Linked DNA regions of Macaca mulatta. The protein of the gene in region 3 purifies or fractionates together with the protein of the main gene of each other region. This does not show direct contact. Links are inferred from orthologs where the notes say so. Each region holds a gene or a part of one and is shown on either strand. Other genes may lie near its edges. The genes, in order: OTUD1, IKBKB, KEAP1, RBX1, GABPA and TSC22D4.

The links.
Region 1: the proteins of KEAP1 (region 3) and OTUD1 purify together in Homo sapiens (affinity purification with western blotting; 3 studies listed by BioGRID, with this or other methods). This does not show direct contact. The link is inferred for Macaca mulatta from reciprocal best matches to the Homo sapiens genes KEAP1 and OTUD1.
Region 2: the proteins of KEAP1 (region 3) and IKBKB purify together in Homo sapiens (affinity purification with western blotting; 7 studies listed by BioGRID and IntAct, with this or other methods). This does not show direct contact. The link is inferred for Macaca mulatta from reciprocal best matches to the Homo sapiens genes KEAP1 and IKBKB.
Region 4: the proteins of KEAP1 (region 3) and RBX1 purify together in Homo sapiens (affinity purification with western blotting; 6 studies listed by BioGRID). This does not show direct contact. The link is inferred for Macaca mulatta from reciprocal best matches to the Homo sapiens genes KEAP1 and RBX1.
Region 5: the proteins of KEAP1 (region 3) and GABPA purify together in Homo sapiens (affinity purification with western blotting; 3 studies listed by BioGRID). This does not show direct contact. The link is inferred for Macaca mulatta from reciprocal best matches to the Homo sapiens genes KEAP1 and GABPA.
Region 6: the proteins of KEAP1 (region 3) and TSC22D4 purify together in Homo sapiens (affinity purification with mass spectrometry; 4 studies listed by BioGRID and IntAct, counting the BioPlex papers as one, with this or other methods). This does not show direct contact. The link is inferred for Macaca mulatta from reciprocal best matches to the Homo sapiens genes KEAP1 and TSC22D4.

What each region holds. Positions count from the first base shown.
Region 1 is NC_133414.1:24,895,283-24,899,235, reverse strand, and holds the start of OTUD1 (OTU domain-containing protein 1), read right to left. Parts: upstream 2,801-3,953; 5' UTR 2,404-2,800; coding exon 961-2,403; 3' UTR 1-960. UniProt on the Homo sapiens protein: Deubiquitinating enzyme that specifically hydrolyzes 'Lys-63'-linked polyubiquitin to monoubiquitin.
Region 2 is NC_133413.1:44,370,619-44,374,664, reverse strand, and holds the start of IKBKB (inhibitor of nuclear factor kappa-B kinase subunit beta), read right to left. Parts: upstream 2,801-4,046; 5' UTR 2,637-2,800; coding exon 2,608-2,636; intron 2,404-2,607; coding exon 2,286-2,403; intron 1-2,285.
Region 3 is NC_133424.1:11,213,280-11,217,193, forward strand, and holds the end of KEAP1 (kelch-like ECH-associated protein 1), read right to left. Parts: intron 3,569-3,914; coding exon 3,363-3,568; intron 3,085-3,362; coding exon 2,908-3,084; intron 1,195-2,907; coding exon 1,028-1,194; 3' UTR 501-1,027; downstream 1-500. UniProt on the Homo sapiens protein: Substrate-specific adapter of a BCR (BTB-CUL3-RBX1) E3 ubiquitin ligase complex that regulates the response to oxidative stress by targeting NFE2L2/NRF2 for ubiquitination.
Region 4 is NC_133415.1:10,578,625-10,582,864, forward strand, and holds the start of RBX1 (E3 ubiquitin-protein ligase RBX1), read right to left. Parts: upstream 2,801-4,240; 5' UTR 2,780-2,800; coding exon 2,702-2,779; intron 265-2,701; coding exon 186-264; intron 1-185. UniProt on the Homo sapiens protein: E3 ubiquitin ligase component of multiple cullin-RING-based E3 ubiquitin-protein ligase (CRLs) complexes which mediate the ubiquitination and subsequent proteasomal degradation of target proteins, including proteins involved in cell cycle progression, signal transduction, transcription and transcription-coupled nucleotide excision repair.
Region 5 is NC_133408.1:21,748,940-21,752,439, forward strand, and holds part of GABPA (GA-binding protein alpha chain), read right to left. Parts: intron 3,417-3,500; coding exon 3,171-3,416; intron 1-3,170.
Region 6 is NC_133408.1:47,666,715-47,670,236, forward strand, and holds the end of TSC22D4 (TSC22 domain family protein 4), read right to left. Parts: intron 1,581-3,522; coding exon 1,532-1,580; intron 1,150-1,531; coding exon 940-1,149; 3' UTR 501-939; downstream 1-500.

The DNA.
Region 1 (3,953 bases), on a different chromosome or scaffold from region 3:
ATGTAAAAGAAATATTAAGACAGTGTTCTCCTGCTCTAACTGCCAAGGGTGGCTCCAGACATTTATGCCATTAGTTTATAAATCTCTTAGTTGGATCCAAGAAGTTAAAGCAGGAGGCTTATCTTGTCACAGAGTTTTATACCATATTAACATTCTCTTTATAACAAAATAACAAATGTCAATAAAAACAATTGAGAGCACCAGACGATCTACTCTACATATCAACCAGGGTACAGAATAACCATTCTGCCATCAGCAAATATCAGACTTTCATTCAAGTAAGACCTGGTACTATCCCTTAAAACAGGAAAAAAAAGAAAAAAAACACCTTCCCACAACCTTCCATTAGATAATTTTCTTTAAAAGATTCACCATTTCTAGAAAAATAATGATTTCCAAAACAACAGCTCTGTTTCATCAAAATGGAATGGGCCAAACATCTGGTAACAAGAATGTTTCAATATCCATTTGAAATAATTATCTAAGAATTGTGAAATTCAAATTTCAACAACATAAAATAACTACCAAATCACAAATTCTGTTCAAAATAATACATTTCATATAAAGCACTTCTCTGGATTTATGCCTGAACACATCATAGATGAAGGTACACCAGTTTTTAAAAATGTTGTGCAAAAATACATTTTTATAGAAAATAGACTACCAGGAATGAACAAATTTACACTGTGAGAAATCAGCTTGCAAATTAAGTAGTGCTCACTTTATACAGCAAATTATAAATAGCAATAAAATCACCCAAAGCTATCATGAAACATCATTTAGGTGGCCCAGCAACCTTCAGCTCCGAGAAAACATTCAAAAAGATGATTAAGGCATTACACCTACAATAAAATCTACTAGCAAGTTTGAAAGTGCTATTACCCTGATTAGAGTTCATGTGATTCTCCAAACACAAGTTATGTATGCAATTATTCCCAGGGTGTAAGGTTTTGAGACATTTCAAGAGCATGCATTTTGTTCAATATACATTTTGGATAGGGATATGGCCATAGATTTGGCAAGTTCTTCGTCGCGTTTCCTTTGCACTTGAGTTTGTTTGCACCAGTTGTCGTACTCTGGGTTAGGATAGGAGTGATCAAATACAGCATCATAGTGTCCGTTACTGAGCCAACTGAGCCAAATACTAGGCCTCAGGGAATCCTCTGGGCCCAAATAATGAATCATAGTAGACACCGTGGGGCTCTCCAGCCTCCCTCCAGTAGTTAAGTGGATATTCACATTCAGCATCTGCCCCATGGCCAGCAATTCCGGGTACCCAGCCCATGCCCCGTCTTGGGCAGCAGCGATGATAAACTCCCCCACGTCGCCCTCAATCAGGGGGCTGAAGTGGTCGAGATGGTCGGCGATATAGTGCACCGTCTGCTCCCTCAGCTCCCGGTGCAGGCTCTGGTCCCCATACACCGTCTTGCTGACAGCTCGGTAGAGGCAGTTGCCGTCGGGAATGATGTGGAATCGGTACTTATTCCTCTGCCGCAAGTACTTGTCCTGCTTCTCCACCTCGGCCAGGTACAGGGCCAGCTTCTCGTCTCTGGGATCTGACCTGGAGACGATCACCGGCTCCGCCGCGCTGCTCGGGGCGGTCTCGATGCTCCGGGCTGGGGGTGCCTCGGCCTCTGGGTCGGGCCTCCGCGCCGCGTCCCCACCGGGAGCGTCGCAGCGGTCGCCGCCCCTCTCCCAGCCCCTAGGGCCCCTTTCCACCAAATGCTCTTCGCCCCACGGACCGGGGTCGGGGCTCCCCGGGGTCGGCGCGGGGCCTCGGTGCTTGGCGGCGGCCAAGGCCTGGCGGTGCTCGCTCAGTCGGAAGTTCCGATCGGGCCCCTCCCGTGTCGCGTCCAAGCCCGCGGACTCGGGGCAGTCGGGCCGCAGCAGCTCCTCCAGGAGCCAGGCCGAGGAGCCCCGCCGCGGCGGGACCGGGGCTGCGGGCGCTGGGGCCAGCAGGAGGCAGCGGCCGCGCGGGGCAGCGGCGGAGCCCGCGGTGCCGGGAGCGGGCTCGGGCCCGTGCAGCAGGAGCCTGTCGGCGCCCAGGGCCCGCACGGTGATCTGCGCGGTGGACGTGTAGTGCGGCGGCAGCGGCGGCTTGCAGGACGCGCCAGGCGGGCCGGCGGCGGCAGAGGCGGGCGCGGCGGCCCCGGACACCACCTCGAAGCAGGAGGAGAAGGCGGGCATCTTGGCGGCGGGGACAGCGGCGGCTTCACGGTGCTCGGCGGCCGCGGCGGGCTGGCACTCACCGGTCTCGGGCTCGGGCGCGGCGCCGGCGGCTCCCGGGGGCTGCAGCGAGACCTTGAAGGTGGGGGCGGCGGCGGCGGGTGGCGCGGGGGCGGCGGCCGTGGGACCCGGTGACCCGGAGGGGTAGTGGGTGCAGACGCTGCTGTAGAGCTGCATGTCCCTGCCCGCCGCTCGGCCCCTTATAGGCGCGGCGAGCCCCGGAGCGGGGGACACACCCTCCGGGCCCGGGGGAGGGGGCCGGCGGAGCGCGGTGACCCAACGGCCCCAGAATAGAGATGAGCGCAAGGCCGCTGGCCGCCGCGCGTCAGCAGCCGCGAATAGCGCCCGGGTCCCGGCCAAATTCCTGCTGCGCCACAGCGTGGGGGGGGCGGGGACGGGACGCGAGCTCGACTCCTGCCGGTGCGCTCAGCCCGCAGACCCGGGGCGTCGCGCCCGCTGCAGCTGCTCCGGCCTGCGGCGGCCGCTGGGGACTCACGGAGGAAGCCGCCCGCCTCGTTGGAGCGCGTCCTGCCGGCGAGGAGGAGCGCGGTGCGCGCGGAGGCCCGGGAGGCGGGGCCGCGGTTGTTTACCTCAGGCCTCGCGGCCGCGTCACGTGGACTCGCTGGAATGCGCGGCTTGTCTCGGCGCCCGATTCAGCCGCGTCGGCTCGCCCCGCCCACTCCGGCCCGCGCCCCGCCCCCTGCTCCGCTCCGCCGACGTCACGGGCGTGGCCCTCGTCGCGCGCGCGGGCGGGGCGAGGCCGGGGGCTCGGAGGCCTGAGCAGTCCGGGAATTCCTGGCTGGGCCTCCCGCCCACGTGACTCCCGCAGACCGCTTCCCCGACCTGGGCACGGGTTTCTGCGCTGCACCACTCTCCGCAGCGGCTGCAGTGGGTGCTGCGGGATGGGCGCTTCTTGGAGCGAGTTAGCATGCTCGGAAAGCTTGCTTGGCAGGAAAGCTTCTGGCATGGGTGTGGAGAACAGAATGCTGTTTGGCCTCTGCATGGTCATGGGCTACCATCCCTCCTTGCATCCACTACTGCCTCTTTTATCTTTTTAGAGATGAGGGTCTCACCTATCTCCAAAGCTGGAGTGTAGTGGCGCAGTCCATAGCTCACTGAAGCTTTGACCTCCCGGACTCAAGCGATCCGCCCACCTCAACCCAGGTGTGCACCACCGCCCCCGGCTAATTTTTTTTTTTTTTTTTTAAGGCGAGGGTCTCACTATTACAGTTGCCCAGTCTGGTATCGAACTACTGGCCTCAAGTTGTTTCCCGCCTTGACCTCCCAAAGTGTTGGGATTACAGGCCCTAGCCACCAATCCTGGCACCACGAGTCTTTTCCTCTTTTTTTTTTTTTTTCTTTTCCTTTTTAAGGCAAGGTCTTGCTCTGCCTTCCAGGCTGACTGCAGTGGCGCCATCATGCCCCACTGCGACCTCCACCTCCGAGGTCCAAGCGATCCCCCTTCCTCAGCCTTGCCTTGGGCAGGGATTACAGGTGCCCAGCTAGTTTTACCACTGCGTCTTTTCTATGCACTTCCTTGGACCCACCTGTTAAGGGTGAGTCCTCTAGTGGATTCTCCTGCCCTGCGAAGACAAAACCAACTTTTCTGCACCTCTGACCTATGTCACTTGGCAAATACCTGCTTGGGCGAAAGCAAGGAAGCCTTTTAGCCCTTTATAAACAGCCTTTCTCAGAATACCAAATGCAGTATCACCTAGGGCCTTTTG
Region 2 (4,046 bases), on a different chromosome or scaffold from region 3:
GCCTGCCTCTCCTTGCCCACGGATGTATTATAGATTTGAACTTTTTAGAGGGAACAAAGGAAACAACAGACAACAAGACAGTGGGCAACAGTGTCCTCCCCTAACCCCACTGGGTGACAGCAAGGATAGGGGTTCCTTAGGATGCGAGTCCTTCCTGCCTCCCCCTCAATCATCCTGCAACCCACGCCAGGTCAGTCATGTTAAACTTTCCATCTCTTCTTCTCTGGCTCATTGGCTCTTTGCCACCTAAAAGACCAAGTCTAAAAGCCTCTGCCTCACTTCAGAGCCCTCTGTAATCTGGCCACATCCCACCTACTTCCAGGCTGCCCTCTGGGAAGTCTCCACTTGACTACAACATGGCTTTATCTCTACACAGCTGCAGTCAGTAATGGGTGACTGTCAAAGGTTAGAAAAATAAGGAAAAAATCAAAGTGCTGTCAAGTTCCCCCATCTCTCACTGTGGGTCATGCCAAGGGCTGTGTTCATATCCTGCTGTGAGTGCCACTCCCAGGACATGCCTATCTCCAGGGAGAGCCACTCTGGCAGGCCAAGCCCACGGCAAGTTTCCTTTTATTTTATTTATCTGTCTATTTCTTCTGAGACAGGATTATCTTTTTTCATGAGACTGAGTCTTGCTCTGTCGCCTAGGCTGGCATGCAGTGGCGCAATCATAGCTCCCTGTAGCCTCAACCTCCCAGGCTCAAGCCATCCTCCCAGTCCAGCCTCCGAAATAGTGGGGACTACAAGCGCACACTACCACACCTGGCTAATTTTTCGTTTTTTATTTTTTGAGGAGATAGGGCCTTGGTATGTTGCCCAGGCTGGTCTCAAACTCCTGGCCTCAAGCTATCCTCCTGTCTCAGCTTCCCAAAGTGGAAAGCTTTTGTTTTTTTTTTAAGAGGCACAAGGGCCTGGAGGAACAGTAAGAGTAGCACCTGAAGTGTGTCTGGGAATAGCCACTGAAAGGGAATAAACGCCTGGGCTCCCACCCTCACTATTGTGACCCTTCCAAAGTAAAGAGGTGCACTCGCAGAGTAACCGACCTCGTTTTCAATTAAAATAAAAATTTTTTTGGCTGGGCGCAGTGGCTCACACCTGTAATCCCAGCACTTTGGGAGGCTGAGGTGGGTGATCATTTGAGGTCAGGAGTTCGAGACCAGCCTGGCTGGTATGGCGAAACCCTGCCTCTACCAAAAATACAAAAGTTAGCTGGGCATGGGGGCGGGCACCTATAATCCCAGCTACTCGGGAGGCTGAGGCAGGAGAATCGCTTGGACCCAGGAGGCGGAGGCTGCAGTGAGTCGAGATCACGCCACTGCACTCCAGCCTGGGCAATAGAGCGAGACTCTGTCTCAAAAAAAAAATATATTTTGTTCAGAGCTTCCAGTTATCATGTTATATGGCCTTATTCAGTCTTAGAGATGGAGAGGTGGCCTGCGGCTAGGTCTGTGTGGACTGGGACCCAGTCTCTGTTGCTACAGCTGTGTGAGGCCCAACCTCTCTGGGCTGTGATATCCACCCGTGATGTGGGAACCATACCTGTGCACTCATGTGTGAGCTGTTGGAAATCGAATGAGGTAACATGTACTAGCAGGCTATGTGGTACTATCATAGGGAACAACGGGGAGGAGGGCACCCAACTGCCCCTGAGACCAGAAGGGGCTGCCATCCACCCACCAGAAGTGAACACTCTAGGGAACAGGAGGTGGTGTGGTGAGAAGGTGGAGAGCAGAGCCCCACAGATGAGTCCAGGTGGGTCAGGTGGGTTGGGTGGGTCGGATGGGTTGGGGCAGGTCTGCAGCCCTGGCCCAGCTCTCTGATCATGAATCCCACTCCCTCTCTTCTATGCTCCCTGCCCCCATGTGTGGTGCTGTCCCATCTCTGGAATAAGATCCCTCCTAATAAGGAGAGCAGTGGCGCTGGCACCAAAGGCCTAACGTGGCCCTAACACGCCCAGGGAGGAAGCATTTGTTTTGGAACTTGCCCAGTCCTTCCCCACGCCCAAACCTGTGATGAGTTTTCCTTGTCATTGGAATAATCCCAGCAGAGTGTGCAGCACGCCCTTCCCCCTTCCCTGGTGTTCTCGGAAGTGCCTCTGACTTACACACACACCAGCCCCAGGTGGGCAGGGAACAGAGGATCTGAGAGGCAAAGCAGCCCTGCTGGAGTTGCTGGGGGTCCCCAAGCTTCCTGATGATGACAGAAGTGAAAGGTCTTCCCATCCCCCTTCCTGGTGTCCCACCTGCCCAGACAGGCTGTATGCCTGGCAGCCGCGGGAGCCTCACCTTCCGGAGATCTCCTCCTTGGCAATACTCCATGGCCAGCAGGGGCAAGTCATTGGGCGCCAAGTTCTGCATCCCCTCAGGGACATCTCGGGCTGCCACCACATTGGGGTGCGTCAGCCTAGGAAGGAGGAAAACCGATGAGAGCAGAGCCAGACTCCTGCCCAGACCCATCCCTATCACCCCCATCAGGTCTCAGCAACAAAGGCCCAGGATAACCCAGGGCTTCGAAACAGAGGAAGACAGAGCCCAGTACGGGTGGCCAACTGCAATGCCCCGGTCAGTGGCGTGCACCCAGCCCCACCCGCAGCACCAGAACTCAGACCCTGAGGGCACACTCCGTGTAACTTCCATTTTCTGTGCGTGCTACATCCCAAGTCCTCATCGTGCTGCCAAACTGCTCCTTTGAAGACCTTCCAATCTCATGCCCTCCACATGGGGGGGATGTGTCACACATGCAAGCAGGCAAACAAGGTGGTGCCTGCTCTTTTTGTTCTCGTATTTTTTTTCTTTTCTCTGTTTATTTTTCGGCAGGTTGATTCACCCACACACATCACCCCAAGGTGGACACACAGAGAGGGATCTGAGAAGGAACTCATGTGTAACCAGATAGAACCATGATGTAACCAAATGGCACTTCCTCTTTTTAAGAGGCTGGCAGAGGAGCCCCTGCTTGGTGTCCTCCTCGCTGGCTCTTTCGGAGCCCACCTCACTAGCTAGGGGGTCAGCAGCCACCGGGCAGATGGACGGCCCAGTCTCCACACTAGAGGAATAAATGTCAGCGGCAGCATGACAGCAGAGAACGGTCATGTACCACCTTGGAACTGGAAATACAGGAGGAAAGAAGGCTTTTTTTTTGCTGACAAAGGAAAAGTCACTGTGATAACTGTGTTAACTTATTTAATATAATGAAACTGATGAAAAGTCCCCGACAAGGCCCAGTGTGGACTTTAGCTGCTCTTCCTCTGGCATCTTTAGAAGCAGCAGAGTCACCGTGGAGACTGTCGGGCTGGCGCCCTGATGGAGGGGCAGAGATTTAAGACTCTCCTCTTCTTTTTTTTTTTTTTTTTAAATTAGACGGAGTCTCGCTCTGTCGCCCAGGCTGGGGTGCAGTGGCGCGATCCTGGCTCACTGCAAGCTCCGCCTCCCGGGTTCACATCATTCTCCTGCCTCAGCCACCCAAGTAGCTGAGACTACAGGCACCCACTACCAAGCCTGGCTAATTTTTGGTATTTTTAGTAGAGATGGGGTTTCATTGTGTTAGCCAGGATGGTCTCAATCTCCTTACCTCGTGATCCACCTGCCTCAGCCTCCCAAAGTGCTGGGATTACAGGCGTGAGCCACCGTGCCCAGCAAGACTCTCCTTTCTAGACACACGGGGGGCTGCTGCTCCAGCTTTCCCTTGGGGTGCACAAGGCCCTCACCTTCTCATGATCTGGATCTCCAGGCACCACCGCTCTCGATTCCGGGGGCTGAGCTCCTGCCGGCACTGCTTGATGGCAATCTGCTCACCTGTTTCCTACAGAAACAGCACAGTGGGGACCAGCAGAGCGAGCTGCAGGCCAAATCCCACCCTGTCTGCTGCATGGGAGGGATCTCCAGTCCTCAGGTGTCACCTGCAATCACCTCCTGGTGCTCCGAGGTCACATGTACACACCGATCGACAGCCACATAGCACCTGCCCTTCGGGCTGTCTCCTTACCACCCCACCTCTCACCCAACTGCTCCAGCCTCATTTCTTTTTCTTTTTTTTGAGATAGAGCC
Region 3 (3,914 bases):
TTGCAGTGAGCTGAGATCCGACCACTGCACTCCAGCCTGGGCGACAGAGCAAGGCTCCGTCTCAAAAAAAAAAAAAAAATACAAAATTAGCCAGATGTGGTGGCACACGCCTGTAATCCCAGCTACTCGGGAGGTTGAGGCAGGAGAATCACTTGAACCCAGGAGGCAGAGGTTGCTGTGAGCTGAGATCACGCTATTGCACTCCAGCCTGCGCAACAAGAGCAAAACTCTGTCTCAAAATAAAAGGAAAAAAAAAAAAATGAGCTTGGGGAGCCCTGGGAGATGTGACTAGGAATTAGCTCCTTGTCTTCCAAGGCAGCTGAAACTGAAGGACAGCTGTGTGGCTTGCCTATGGGGAGAAAGATGCCCTACATATCAAAATGCGATGGGCAAAGATTACAAAACGGTTTCAAATACCAGCCCTAAGTCAAAGAGGAGTGTGTTTCAGGAGAAGAGCCCTTTCTGGCCCCGGGTTTCAGACCTCCAGCCCAGAGCCAGGGTGAAAGACACTAGTTAGTCTGTTCTTTATTTTCCTTGGAAAATTACAGGGTTACTTATCAACAAAATAACTGTCCATCCGGTGGGGAAGTGCCATCCGGTGGCTTCTATGTACAGGCCCATCCCTGGGAACCACATTTCCAGAGGGGGCCTCCGCCTGAGGCCCCCATTGGCCCCCTCCCAGGTATCCAAGAACAAATCACAAGGTGAGGGCTGCCGGCGTGGCTGGCTGGGTGGGTGGGACCCAGGGCCAGAGGGTTTGGGGGCCTCTCTCCTGGAAGCCTGCTCTTTCCACACCCCCTTTCCCAGCCAGGCTGTCTTGGACACTCCTGGGGCTCCGCTGAGAGGCACATGATTCCCGCTTTGGACTTCTTTTTGAGATGTCATTTTAACACTGAGGCATCGCGGCCTCCCTTCCCGGAAGATGGGTTATTTGCAGTGCTGTCTTTTTTCTTTTAATCCTGGTTTTTGTACAAAAACAATGATACTCCCCATTGGACTGTATTTTCGCCCAAGAAACAAAAGTGCCTCAACAGGTACAGTTCTGCTGGTCGATCTGCTTCCGGCAGGGCTCCATGGTGACAGCCACGCCCACTCCGCTCCGGCCCGATGTCATTCGGGTCACCTCGCTCCAGGTGTCTGTATCTGGGTCGTAACACTCCACACTGTCCAGGAACGTGTGACCATCATAGCCTCCTGCAGGAAGAACAGAAGGGACGGTCACCACCTGTCACACCACATCCAAGAGCAGGGGACAGAAAGAGGGAGAAGCAGCTGTGAGATGCAAAAGCAGGCCGGGCGCAGTGGCTCACGCCTATAATCCTAGCACTTTGCAGGGCTGAGGCGGGAGGATCGCTTGAGGCCAGGAGTTCGAGGACAGCCTGGGCAACATAGCAAACTCTAGTCTCTTACTGAAGAAAAAAAAAAAAAAAAAGGCCAGGCGCGGTAGCTCAGCCTGTAAATCTAGCACTTTGGGAGACTGAGGTGGGTGGATCACTTGAGTCCAGGAATTTGAGACCAGCCTGGGCAACATGGTGAAATCCCATCTCTACCAAAAAAAAACATAAAAATTTAGCCAGGCGTGGTGGTGCGTGCCTGTAGTTCCAGCTACTAGGGAGGCTGAGACAGGAGAATCACTGGAACCTGGAAGGCAGAGGTTGCAGTGAGCCGAGATCACGCCATTGCATTCCAGCCTGGGCAACACGAGCAAAACTCTGTCTCAAAAAAATAAAATAAAAATAAATAAAAACAGCCGGGTGCTGTGGCTCACGCCTGTAATCCCAGCACTTTGGGAGGCCGAGGTGGGCGGATCACAAGGTCAGGAGATTGAGACCATCCTGGCTAACATGGTGAAACCCCATCTCTACTAAAAATACAAAAAAAAATAAAAATTAGCCGGGCGTGGTGGCAGGTGCCTATAATCCCAGCTACTCGGGAGGCTGAGCCAGGAGAATGGCATGAACCTGGGAGGTAGAGCTTGCAGTGAGCCGAGAGTGTGCCACTGCACTCCAGCCTGAGCGACAGAGCCAGACTCCGTTTCAAAAATAAATAAATACATAAATAACATTAAGCCGAGTGTGGTGGCTCACGCCTGTAATCCCAGCACTTTGGGAGGCTGATGTGGGCAGATCACCTGAGGTCAGGAGTTCAAGACCAGCCTGACCAGCATGGTGAAACCCCATCTCTACTAAAATATAAAAATTAGCAGGGCATAGTGGTGGGCACCTGTAATATCAGCTACATGGGAGGCTGAGGGGGGAGAATCGCTTGAAACCAGGAGGCGGAGGTTGCAGTGAGCTGAGATCGCGCCATTGCACTCCAGCCTGGCAACAGAGCGAGACTCCTGTCTCAAAAAAAGAAAAAGCCCCAGCGCGGTGGCTCACGCCTATAATCCCAGCACTTTGGAAGGCTGAAGTGGGTGGATCACGAGGTCAGGAGTTCGAGACCAGCCTGGCTAACATGGTGAAACCCTATCTCTACTAAAATACAAAAAATTAGCCAGGTGCGGTGGCACACACCTATAGTCCCAGCTACTCAGGAGGCTAAGACAGGAGAATTGCTTGAACCTCCAGGAGGCGGAGGTTGCAGTGAGCTGAGATCATGCCATTGCACCCCAGCCTGGGCAACATTGCGAGACTCCATCTCAAAAAAACAAACATTAGCCGGGTGTGGTGGTGCGTGCGTGTGGTCCCTGCTACTTGGGAAGCTGAGGCAGGAGGATGGCTGGAGCCCAGGAGGTTGAGGCTCCAGCAAGCTGTGATCACACCACTGCACTCAGCCTGGGCGACAGAGCGAGACCCTGTTTCTAAGAAAAAAAAAAAAAAAAAAAGGAAAGCAAAAAAGCAAAAGCAGCCACAGTCCACAAGAGATGGGGCTAGTCGGGACTCTTCCCCACCCCCAGGGCCTCACCAAGGACGTAGATTCTCCCCTGGTGGACAGTGATCCCCAGGGCACTTCGCCGGTGCTTCATGGGGGCTACGAAAGTCCACGTCTCTGTTTCCACGTCATAACGCTCCACGCTGTTCAGCTGGTCCTGACCATCATAGCCCCCGGCAGCATAGATGCAGTTGTGCAGGACACAGACGCCTAAAGGGCACCGTGCAGAGAAGGTGACTCTGGAGGACTGGCTTTGGGAGCCCCAGCCATCACCTCCTTGAGGGAGACCTTTCCTCTCTCCTCTCCCTTCTCACCCTCAGAAATGAAGCATGGAGAGAGAGAAGCTTGGACTCTATCAGAATCCAGTGCTTCTGTGGTTATCTCAGGGTGAGGGTTGCAACAGGGGGTCTCTCCCAGGCCTGGCTCAGTTTCACCCCAGGATGGTGGGGGTGTTCCTGGATGCTCCCCTCACTACCGTCCCCACCCACCTGCCCCGCTTCGGATGGTGTTCATTGCTGTGATCATTCGCCACTCGTTCCTCTCTGGGTAGTAACGCTCAGCTGAATTAAGGCGGTTTGTCCCGTCAAAGCCCCCCACGGCATAAAGCAGACGATTGAGGACGGCCACGCCCACCCCGATCCTTCGTGTCAGCATTGGGGCCACCAAGTGCCACTCATCCCGCTCTGGCTCATACCTGCAAGGGCATAAGAAAAATGGGGACAATGGCCATTATAGCTGACCTTCGTGGAATACTTAAAGGCCTGATACCCCTTTTTTCCCTTTTTTTCTTCCTTTAAAGAGACAGGGTCATCAGGCGCAGTGGCACGTGTCTGTAATCCCAGCACTTTGGGAGGCCGAGGAGGGTGGATCACCTGAGGTCAGGAGTTTAAGACCAGCCTGGCCAATATGGTAAAACCTTGTCTCTATTAAAAATACAAAAATTAGCTGGGTGTGATGGCAGGTGCCTGTAATCCCAGCTACTCGGGACGCTGAGGTGAGATAATCATTTGAACCTGGGAGGTGTAGGTTGCAGTGAGCTG
Region 4 (4,240 bases), on a different chromosome or scaffold from region 3:
GGTATGCCTCCAGGACATCATAAAAAAACTACTCTATTTCAAACACACCAAAAGACTAGATACAGAAGACCGAGTGCTCAGAGTAGGCTTGATATCTGCTTGTGAAGAAGAAAATCGGTCACATCAAGATAGCCACAAGCTCTGCAACCTTCTCAACTTCCTCCCATCCTCCTCCAATTACTTACAAAGATCCATAATGTGGTTCCTGCAGATGGCACAGTTATCAACCACAATATCCCAGGCCCAGAGGGCTACTGCATTCCACTGCAAAGACAAAAAGAGGGAACAATGCATTCTCCTTATAACACACACACAGTTTTTAGGACTTCAGGCTGCAGTTGTAGTTATGATCTCTGGCCACAAGGAACCACCAAACAAAAGGTTTTGGATATTATGTTAATCTTATTATACCAAAGACAACAGTAGACAACACATACGTTCTCCTATTCTCCAAAAGACTGAGTATATGAAGACATAAATGAATGTCATCTTTTGTTTCCTGTAGTTTAAAACAATTTAGTCTGGCCGGACGCAGTGGCTCACGCCCATAATCCTAGCATTTTGGAAGGCTGAGGCGGGTGGATCACCTGAAGTCAGGAGTTCGAGACCAGCCTGGCCAATATGGCGAAACCCCGTCTTTACTAAAAATACAAAAATTAGCCAGGCTTGGTGGCGGGTGTCTATAATGCCAGCTATTTGGGAAGCTAAGGCAGGAGAATCGCTTGAATCTGGGGGACAGAGGTTGCAGTGAGCCGAGATCGTGCCACTGCACTCCAGCCTGGGCGATGGAGTGAGACTCCATCTAAAAAAAAAAAAAAAAAAAAAAGCACAAACTTGAATTTCTGTGCAGGTTTTGGTGGCAGTTGCAGAAGCGCTCAAAATCTGAATAAGTATCTGCTCTTCCAGGCAGCTTTGGAAGCATGAGCAATGAAGTGAAAGCTAGGGAACAGAATGAACTAAGATGATGACTGGATCATAAAACAGGTAATCGTGGGATAAGCTGGATAATTAACTGCCCATGTCAGTACACAGAACAAGGTCATCACTTAAATCTTAGATTACTTCATAACAAATTCTACAATTCACTAGAATTTTGTTCGATTCTTACCATAAAATAAACTGATGTTCTGAACTTTTATATGTTTAGACTCTTCTATTAAGATAATAATTCCAGGCCGGGCGCGGTGGCTCAAGCCTGTAATCCCAGCACTTTGGGAGGCCGAGACGGGCGGATCACGAGTTCAGGAGATCGAGACCATCCTGGCTAACACGGTGAAACCCCGTCTCTACTAAAATACAAAAAAAATTAGCCGGGCGAGGTGGCGGGCGCCTGTACTCCCAGCTACTCGGGAGGCTGAGGCAGGAGAATGGCGTGAACCCGGGAGGTGGGGCTTGCAGTGAGCTGAGATCCGGCCACTGCACTCCAGCCTGGGAAACAGAGCTAGACTCCGTCTCAAAAAAAAAAAAAAAAAAAAAAAAAAGATAATAATTCCAGTAAGAGTTTAATTAAAAGTGGCATTTCATTCATTCAACTCTGGTTTCCTCAATTACAAGTACTCCCAAACCTTCATCGCTTTCAAACCCCAGTCTCAGTGCCTAGTAACTTCTTCACCACTTTTCACATCACAGCTTCAACTTGGAGGAAAAGCCCCTACTTCTATTATTCTTCAATATGGCTGGCTGTAACTGAGCAGCAGTGGCCACAATGAGACACCAAAAAGCACTAGGAGGGGGGGGATATTGTCAGTGTTTAGCCAGATGTTCCAGGAATATCTTCCCTATTTCAGAATCTCCATTTCGAATAGTTTTCATGTTAGGTGGGAATCGACACTTTTCTCCCAAACTGTGGCAAACCACTAAAATGCATTTCATGCAAAAGACACGTTCCATTTTTGCTTTCCCCTCTTACCAAGTCATTCGCAACTAGTACTCAACCCTTCCGAAATGCCACAGGATTTGGGCTCGGATTTTCTTAACAAGTTCCACCGTGCTTTTTATTATTATTTCGGAAGGGGGAGATTCTGAACGTGACAGAGAATCCAAGAGTGGGGTGGTTGTGGGAAAAGCCAACAGACGTCTCAGAACACCCAAGCATTACACTCCAGACTCTAACTCGGCGGTGTGAGGCCCAGAGATGGGGTTAATGGAGGCCTCGGTTCAGCGAGGAACAAGTCTGATCCCTTCAAGTGAGAGGACCCCAAGCAAGCTTCAAAAAGGGGCGGAGCAAGATCACTAGCGGGGCTCCTCAGAGGCCTCCAATGCGGTAGGACCTCAGGTTCCAGGCTTTCGCCGCACTGCCCCATCCTCCACCGCCGCAGTCGCTCTGACTCCCCATTCCACCCACCCCACCCCACCCCACCCCACCCTACCTCACCCCACCCTACCTTCCCCCACCTCTCAACCACTCCAGTGACAGCTCAGGCGCTTGGCTCCCGCCGCCAAGTCGCAACCCCGCGTATCTCAACAAGCAGCTCTGTGATTGGCCCCTCAGCCTCACATCGAAACCAACACTTCCCCTGACAGTGGGCCGCCGTCACGCCGATCAACTCTAAGGCCCGCCCCCCGACTTCCTTTCGTGGTACCCGGTCCCAGGAACGCCCTAAAATGAAACCCTTTACTCCGCGCCTCGACCATCCTCGGGCCTGCCAGCCAGATCCGCGCCTCTCTAGCTTCCCTGAGGAAGGCGCTGGCGAGACCCAACCTTTTTCACTTCAAAGCGCTTCTTGCCCGCGCCGCTGTTGGTGCCGCTCGGGGTATCCACATCCATCGCTGCCGCCATTTTGGAAACACACGGTCTGTCGTCCGACCACCGCGCCTGCGCAGCAGCGCACACCTCGTTCCCCCAGCCTCCCCGGCACCTCCTCCCGCACCCCACCCCTTACTGGCGCGCGTGGGGGAGGTGGGGGCGGAGCACGTGACCACGCCTCTTAAAGGGGCTATCGCAAGTCGCCCCACCCGCGAAGTGTCGGCCGGGGAGGGGGCGGTGGCCGGAGTGGGTGGGGCGGGGCGGGGCCGGGCGGGGCCGAGGCTACGTGAGCTAGCCTGGTAGAAACGTTCGAAAGGGCTCGAGGTCGCCGCCTCCTCTGGGAAGCCCCCGGCCGCACTCCATCAGCTGGGGCGGCGGCTGCTTCCTCCGCCTGAGTCGGACCTGCGCCGCAGTCCTGTCCTGCCTACCGGGCTCGCCCGGTCGCCGCGCGACTCCCATTGCTAGCCGGGGTGGGCGCCCGCCGCCTGCCCCGAAACCTGAGAGCCCTCGCTGGTCTTTCGCAGACTCTGACCCACCTCCGAGCCAGGCCCAAGGCGCAGTCCGCGTGGGAGGGCTGGGGCCCAGGCACCGTCTGGTCTCCGATTTCTGTTCGGGAACTGCTCAGGGATCGATGGGGAGAGAGGAGAGCCCCGAAGGTCCTCCCTAAGGCCAGACTGAGCAGGCCCCCAGTGCTGCCCTCATCCCCCCGCCAAGCCTGGAGGGTGGCCTCTGCGCCCGCTTAGTCGCAGTCCTAGGACCGCCTTTGGTCGTGGTGCGCGGTTTCACCGTGGCGTGTGTCAGTCCCCACTTCTCATTCCTCAGTTGTCATCTTGTGTAGGGTGATTTCTCCCCAGTCTGTGTCCTCTTTCCGCTACTTGTGCTATAGTGAAACCGACCCATCTGCAGTCGCTGTATTTCTTTAATTTTTGTGAAGCATTCTTTTTGGGGTGTTTTTTTGAGACGGAGTTTCGCTCTTGTTGCCCAGGCTGGAGTGCACTGGCGCGATTTCGGCTCACTGCAACCTCCACCTCCCGGGTCCAAGCGATTCTCCTGCCTCAGCCTCCCTAGTAGCTGGGATTACAGGTGTCCGCCACCACGCCCGGCTCTTTTGTATTTTTAGTAGAAACGGGTTTTTACCATGTTGGCCAGGCCGGTCTCGAACTCCTGACCTCAGGTGATCCGCCTGCCTCGGCCTCCCAAAGTGCTGGAATTACAGGCTAGAGCCGATTTTTTTTTGTTTTAAATAGAGACAAGGTCTCACTCTGTTTCCCAGGCTGGTCTCGAACTCCTCGGCTCAAGCGATCCTCCCACTTCGACCTCCCAAAGTGCTAGGATCACAGGAGTGCGCCACCGCGCCCGACCCAAGCACCTGTACTTTGTGTCACTCTCCCTTTTCTCGCTAGACCAGGACTCCCTTTGACATCTCTAACCTTGCAGAGGTATGACTCCGCCAGAGCACTCTTAGATCTCGTACAGGTGATTTGAAGCCTTTTA
Region 5 (3,500 bases), on a different chromosome or scaffold from region 3:
TTTTGTGGAGACAGTCTGGCTATATAGCCCAGGCTGGTCTCAAACTCTTGGCCTCAAGAAACCCTCCTACCTCAGCCTCTCAATGTGCTGGGATTACAGGCATGAGCCACCACACCTGGCCTGAAATTCTTTTAATGAAAGAGTCAATGCCTCATTTTATCAGCATATAGTTATCAAATCCTTCAGAACTTCACATTAATTAGCTTTAAAGTTATTTACTCTTATTTTTTTTTTCGAGATGGAGTCTCACTGTGTTGCCCGGGCTAGAATGCAGTGGTGCAATTTCAGCTCACTGCAACCTCTGCCTCCCAGGTTCAAGAGATTCTCATGCCTCAGCCTCCCAAGCAGCTGGGATTACAGGCATGCGCCACCACGCCCAGCTAATTTTTATATTTTGAGTAGAAACAGGGTTTCACCATGTTGGCCAGGCTCGTCTCAAACTCCTGGCCTCAAGTGACCCACCCGCCTCAGCCTCCCAAAGTGCTGGGATTACAGGCGTGAACCACCACACCCGGCCTGAAGTGATTAATTCTTAAATGTGAAAAGATGGGCAAAAATAATTAGATATTTGAGAGAGGTTAAAAACACCACAAACAAAAACCACAAGAAAAGCAGAATCCACAAGAAACAGAAATACTGCAGTAAAGCTTTTTAAAAGTTAAAACTATAATCAATATACTCAAAGAAGTAGGAGAAAACATGACATTGGCAATATAAGATCAGAATGCTACAGAAAGGCACAAACAAAAACGAAGAGCCCTTGTAAATTAAAAATCAGATAGGTTATATTATAAAGACAAGAAAATCTGGCAGAAAGTAGTGCAGATAGGAAAGACGAAAAATAAACAAGAAAAAAGATGCAGCAGATCAACTCAAGAGATTCAACAGGAGTTCCGAAAAAAGAACACAGAAGTATTTATCAAAAGAATGCAGTAAGAACATCCAGAACTAAAGGTGACAATTATCAAGATCAGGGCTGTCCAACAGAAATATAATGCAGACCATTATGTAATTTTTAATTTTCTAATAGTTACATTTAAAAAGTTGGCAAAATACATCTTTTTTTTTTCATTAAACTCACTATTTATTTATTATTTTTATTATACTTTAAATTCTAGGGTACATGTGCATAACGTGCAGGTTTGTTACATATGTATACTTGTGCCATGTTGGCGTGCTGCACCCATCAACTTGTCAGCAATAATGAATTTATTTTAACTTAATGTTCCAAATGTTATTTCAACCAGTAATCAATATAAAAAAATTTAAAAAGATTTTACATTCTTTCTTTTAATGGGTATTTTACATTCATAACACATCTTAATTTTGACCAGGGACACTTCAAGTGCTCACACGTGATGAGTGGCTACAGTCCTGGGCAGTAGAGGGACAGACTGAAATTCTACACTAGCTGTCTGGTTCCGTAGCTCTCTTTCAGTTCCATGGGTAAGCTCTATCATTTATTGTGTATCTTTTAGGTTTGGTTTAAAGAAAGAAAAAAATGTCTTAGGGAAAACAGCAGTTCTATAACACAGCCTTTCTGTCATCAGCACTGCTCCCCAGGTACAACCTTGTCTCTAAAAATAAAAAATAAAAAAAGGACAAAAAACCCGACAATACTGTTTCATTTACAAATACACTGAGGTCCCCACCAACTCTTGGATGATCAATAGTATTTATTTGTTACCCCAGCATTCTTCCTCATCCGCCCCCACTTCTAAGATGTCTATTTCTTATAATACTGTTTTGTCTCACCAACTCTAGTTACTTTTGTCTAAATTTAAGAATGATCCTCTGATCATCACATTTAAGAGATATAGTGAGCATTCTTTGACTTTCTCGGCAGCATCTGAGAGTCTTGACCATCCAAACTCTCCCCTCAATTTCAGTGACACTATACATATAAGTTATTTCTTTCTTTCTGTCTCTTCAGTTATTTCTTGTCTCCCTTTTCTCCAACCCTAAATGTTTATAGGGTCTAGGATATATGCTTTAGTTGTGTGTTCTTTTCCATTCCTTGCTTCCATCAGGGACTACGTAGACTTTTATAGCTTCAAATACAAATTCAATGTGAATGAGTCTCATATAACATCTTTGTCTCCAGCCCAAATCTTATATAACTGAAACCATTTTCTGGCTACCTGCAGCTGAATATAAACTTTCACCTCAAAATCAAGTGCTATCCACCTTCTCTTGAAAAAAGCATTTCCTATACCAGACTTCTCTACTTCCCCAACTGGGCTATTGAAGGCATGCTCTTTCTAGTGCACCATCTTAATTAAGCCCAGCATTTAACATGGTGCCTGGCATATAGTAGTGTTCACTAAACATGCAATGATGATGGAACCAATTTTTATCAAGATTATTACTGTTTTAGTCACCAAGATGAAGCTTGAGAAGTTAGATCAATACTTGTATCTTCTCTCTCTACTCTCATAAAATCTGTCAATCTGCTCAGTCCTATTACTATTTTCATCTACTTTTTCCTTTCTACTCCCAAAGAAATCACCTATCATCTAGCCACAATTATAATATGCTCCTGTTTTCCCTTCACTCAGTCTCTACCTGTTCCAACTGACACCATATACCACCACCATATTCATTTTCCAATTATTTTCATCAATCAAAACAGTTCTGTAATGCTACAGAGTAACTCCTTAACCACTCAATTTTCTCACTACTCACGCATACCCCCAGGTCTAAGCTTTGCACATAACACTTCCTGTCTTAAATATCTTTCTCTGCCCAATAGTATCTTATTTATAATAAACCTTATTTATAATAAACCCTTTTCACCTTTCCCTCAGGGCAACTAGGATCCCTTTGAGATTCCAATAGCATGCTGCTTCTATAAGAGTTACTGACAGTTTAAAAACATGTTACCTTTTACAGCAATTATCACTTTTCATCTATCTTCTCTCTCTTCAACTACACTCTCAACACCCTAAGAGCAGAAATTTTTTAGACTTCTTTGTACTTCCGGCACGCAGGACTGAATTTGTCCACCATATGAGCTTAAATGTATATTACAATTAAAAAAGAGAGATAAGAAAATCAACATTCATTCTAATAACTCTACATGTAAAATAGATTATAACTTACCCTAGTGTCTTCTATGTCAAGCTTAATTCCTACTGTTCTACCCAATATAGAATTACGTATTTCATTACCATAGGGTATCCCAAGGCGTTCTTGTTCTTTCCTATAGCCTTCCAGTGCAGCAGCCCATCTTGTCACTTGTTCTGAAGTTTCATCTGAAATGGTTGTGATGTGTTTTGTGCCATCAAGAGTTATCACTTGAGCTTCTTCAACAAGATGTGCTTCTGATTCAGCATGGTGGGCATCTGGATCAATAACAACCTCAACAGTGTCCGCAGGTTTAACAATTTCAAGGATGTTTAACTTTGGTTCAATTCCTTAACAGTGGATAAAAAAAATTATGAATCTAAATGAAAACACAGAAGTCACCAAAACATAATTTAGGGTATATGTTCCAAAAT
Region 6 (3,522 bases), on a different chromosome or scaffold from region 3:
GCCTGGGACTGGAGCCCAGGCTGCCAGGGAGGGGCCATCTCACCCACAGGGCCCGTCCTCAGCTGGCCGGGGGTGGGAGCCACGGCGGCCGGCCAGGCCTGGCAAGGGCACCGTGTGCCCAGGGAGTCTGGCCCACACCCAGCCCAGAGACAAGGGGCCCATTCAGGGCCCCCCGCCCCGCCCCCAAGCAGCCACCCGGATCCAGCCCGCAGAGGGGACACACTGGGAAGCTGGGGGTGGATCTTGGGCAGCCACCAAAGACCTCATTGTTTCCTGGTCCCCCCGCCCAGCACGTGGGCAGACGCCCCCCCACCCCCAATCCTCGCCTGCCCCTTCCCAGGACCCGAACCGCTGGCTCCCTTCTCCAGTCTCTGTCTCAACCCCTCCATCTCCCACGCTTTAAACCTCCCCAGTCTGCAAAAGATCTCAGGGAAGCCCCAAATGGCAGGCGCGACCCCTGAGTCTGAACACAAGCAACGAACGAGATGTCAACCTCCAAATTCAAGTTTCTTCAGAATTTTTAATTATTATTATTATTTTAATAACAACCTGAATCCCAGAACTTCCAGATACTGTCCACACTCCCTCCCCTGGGCAGAGGAGAGGATGCACCTCAAGGGAACAAGGTGGGGGTGGGGTGTCTGCCAGGGAGCCTCCAACTCCCCCAGGCCGTCGACTGCTGGGGGTCCCATGAGGGAGGGTGGAGGTTGGTTCCCTCCCAGAGGGGGCTCCCTCTGATGCCCCGTCCTGAAGTCCTCCCTCCTCCATCAAGGCTGGGGATGATGAGGAGATGGGGCAGGGGCCGGGGGACCAGGCCGTTACTGAGCCTTGAACTCCCACCCTGGGGACATGGGGACATTAAAGCTGCATAGGAAGAGGGGGCAGGCGGCTGACAAAAGGCCGGGCAGCCCCAAAGGCACATTGTAAGGGAAGGGAGGCTCAGACGGAGGGCCCATTGGGCGCGGAGGGCCCAAGCCGTGGGACCCCCGAGGAGGGCAGCTGAGCCAGCTGCTCCGGGCTGGCCAGGGCGCGCAGCAGCCCATTCTCCTGCTCCAGCGCAGCGTTCCGCTCTGCCAGTTCCCGGATCTGCTCCTTCAGTACCTCCACCTCCTCCCGGACCGCAAACATGAGGTGGGACTTCACCAAATCCTGGGGGCCCCGGGGACAGGCACAGTGTCAACGGAGTGGGTGCCTCATCCCCTGCCCAGTGCCTCAAGGGCCGGGATGGGAGAGAGTCCCGTGTCCAGAGGATGAGAGACAAAGCAGGGAAGGGACAGGGGAAAAGGACGAGGGACAGAGGCAGAGTCAGAGCTCAAAGACAGAGATGGGGACCAGCAGCCAGACCAGAGGCTGGGCAAAGTCAAGGGTGCAGGTGGCGGTAGGAGGGGGCAGAGGATGCCCAGGAGCCCAGCAGGGAGAGGGATGGAGGAACTGGGAGTTGGTGTTCCCTGGTAAGGAAGAAGACAGGGCTGGGGCGGAGGGATGGCTTAAGGGGGCCGGGACCTCCTGGGACCAAGATGGCTTCTCTTACCATGGCTTGCTCGATTTTGTTGTCAATGCCAACCAGGCTTCCGGAGCCACTGGAGAGACACAGGAAGGTGAGGGGAGGAGAGGAGGAGCCTTCCCAGGTGCTGGTTTCTTGGACCACAGCCTCCCGCCCACACCCCCCTATACCTGTGACAGTAGAGAATGAGGGAGAGGAGGGTTTTGTCCATCCCCCTGCGGGCTGAGGGCCGCTGCCCAGGGCCTCCCAGGCCCCGGTGGGGCGGGGGCCCAGATGTCCCTCGTATGGGGGACGCACCCCGGGGAGAGCAAGGGGAAGAGGCACAGTCCCTTTTTCGGGGCAGCCCCGGAGCCATCCCCACCACTCGGGTCTCATAAGATGACACCAGGGACTTGACAGAGATCCCTGGCTGGGCCATGCCCAAGGGGAAAGGGTCCTTAGACGCCCCCCCAACGGAGAAGGATGCAGTGAAGGGAATGCCTGGGGGGCTCAGAGCCCCCCGGGCAGAGCGGGGTCTGGCTGGTGCCAGGCAGGCAGAGAGGAGACAGTGCCTCGGGGGTGCTGGCCTGAAAGATATACACCACCCCCCCCAAGGGCAAGGCCTGGCTGCTATTGGCTCCTTGGGGACACGGGGACCCCCCCTCCCCTCGGCTCCTCGGTGGGCGGGAATTCCCAGACACGGTCAGTGCCAGTGTCCCCTTCTCACCCTGGCACCAATCCCAGAGTGGAGGGGAGGGGGCCGGCCGAGGAAGTCAGCTGGTGGCTGGGCCAGGGGAGGGGCGTGGGGCAGAAGCCTGGGTCTGAGAGGGGAGTGAAGGGTGTGAAGGGAGACGAAGGGCCTGGCCCTCGGAGGCCCCTCCCCACCTCTGACCCCATCCTGTCCCCTCTGTCCCTCAAGGCCTTGGGAAAGAGGGTGGAGGTGGCTGGGGTAGGGGGCGTTCTGACGTACTCGTGGTCTTCCATAGATCATGAGTGCTCTACTACCAAAAAACCCCACAAGGCTCACATCATGGGTGACCCCGGGACCTGGCCAGAGGGTCCCTGACTTTCCAGAGAAGACCAAAAATGGGAAAGGTTACCATGGCAACAGAAACTGAGCCCAGAGCCCTAGAAGACGAATACAGCCTAAAGGCCAGGTGCGGTGGCTCACACCTGTAATCCCAGCACTTTGGGAGGCTGAGGTGGGTGGATCATTTGAGGTCAGGAGTTCGAGACCAGCCTGGCTAACACGGTGAAACCCCATCTCTACTGAAAATACAAAAATTAGCCAGGCATGGTGGAGGGTGCCAGTAATCCCAGCTACTCAGGAGGCTGAGGCAGGAGAATTGCTTGAACCCGGGAGGTAGAGGTTGCAGTGAGCTAAGATCGTGCTACTACACTCCAGCCTGGAAGACAGAGTGAGATCCTGTCTCAAAAAAACAAACAAAAAAAGGAACAGGCATGGTGGCACATGCCCGTAATCCCAGCACTTTGGGAGGCTGAGGCAGGCGGATCTCCTGAGGTCAGAAGTTCGAGACCAGCCTGGCCAACATGGTGAAACCCTGGCTCTACTAGAAGTACAAAAAATTAGCCAGGCGTGGTGGCAGGTGCCTGTAATCCCAGCTACTCAGGAGGCTGAGGCAGGAGAATCGCTTGAACCTGGGAGGTGGAGACTGCAGTGAGCCGAGATCAGGCCACTGCACTCCAGCCGGGGCAACAAGAGCAAAACTCTGTCTTAAAAAAAAAATACCGCCGGATCACGAGGTCAGGAGATTGAGACCATCCTGGCTAACACGGTGAAACCCCGTCTCTACTAAAAAATACAAAAAACTAGCCGGGCGAGGTTGTGGGCGCCTGTAGTCCCAGCTACTCAGGAGGCTGAGGCAGGAGAATGGCGTGAACCCGGGAGGCGGAGCTTGCAGTGAGCTGAGATCCGGCCGCTGCACTCCAGCCTGGGCGACAGAGCGAGACTCCGTCTCAAAAAAAAAAAAAAAAACCGCCTATGGGCCTGGGACCTGGGTCTGGGGTCTCAGAGGAAG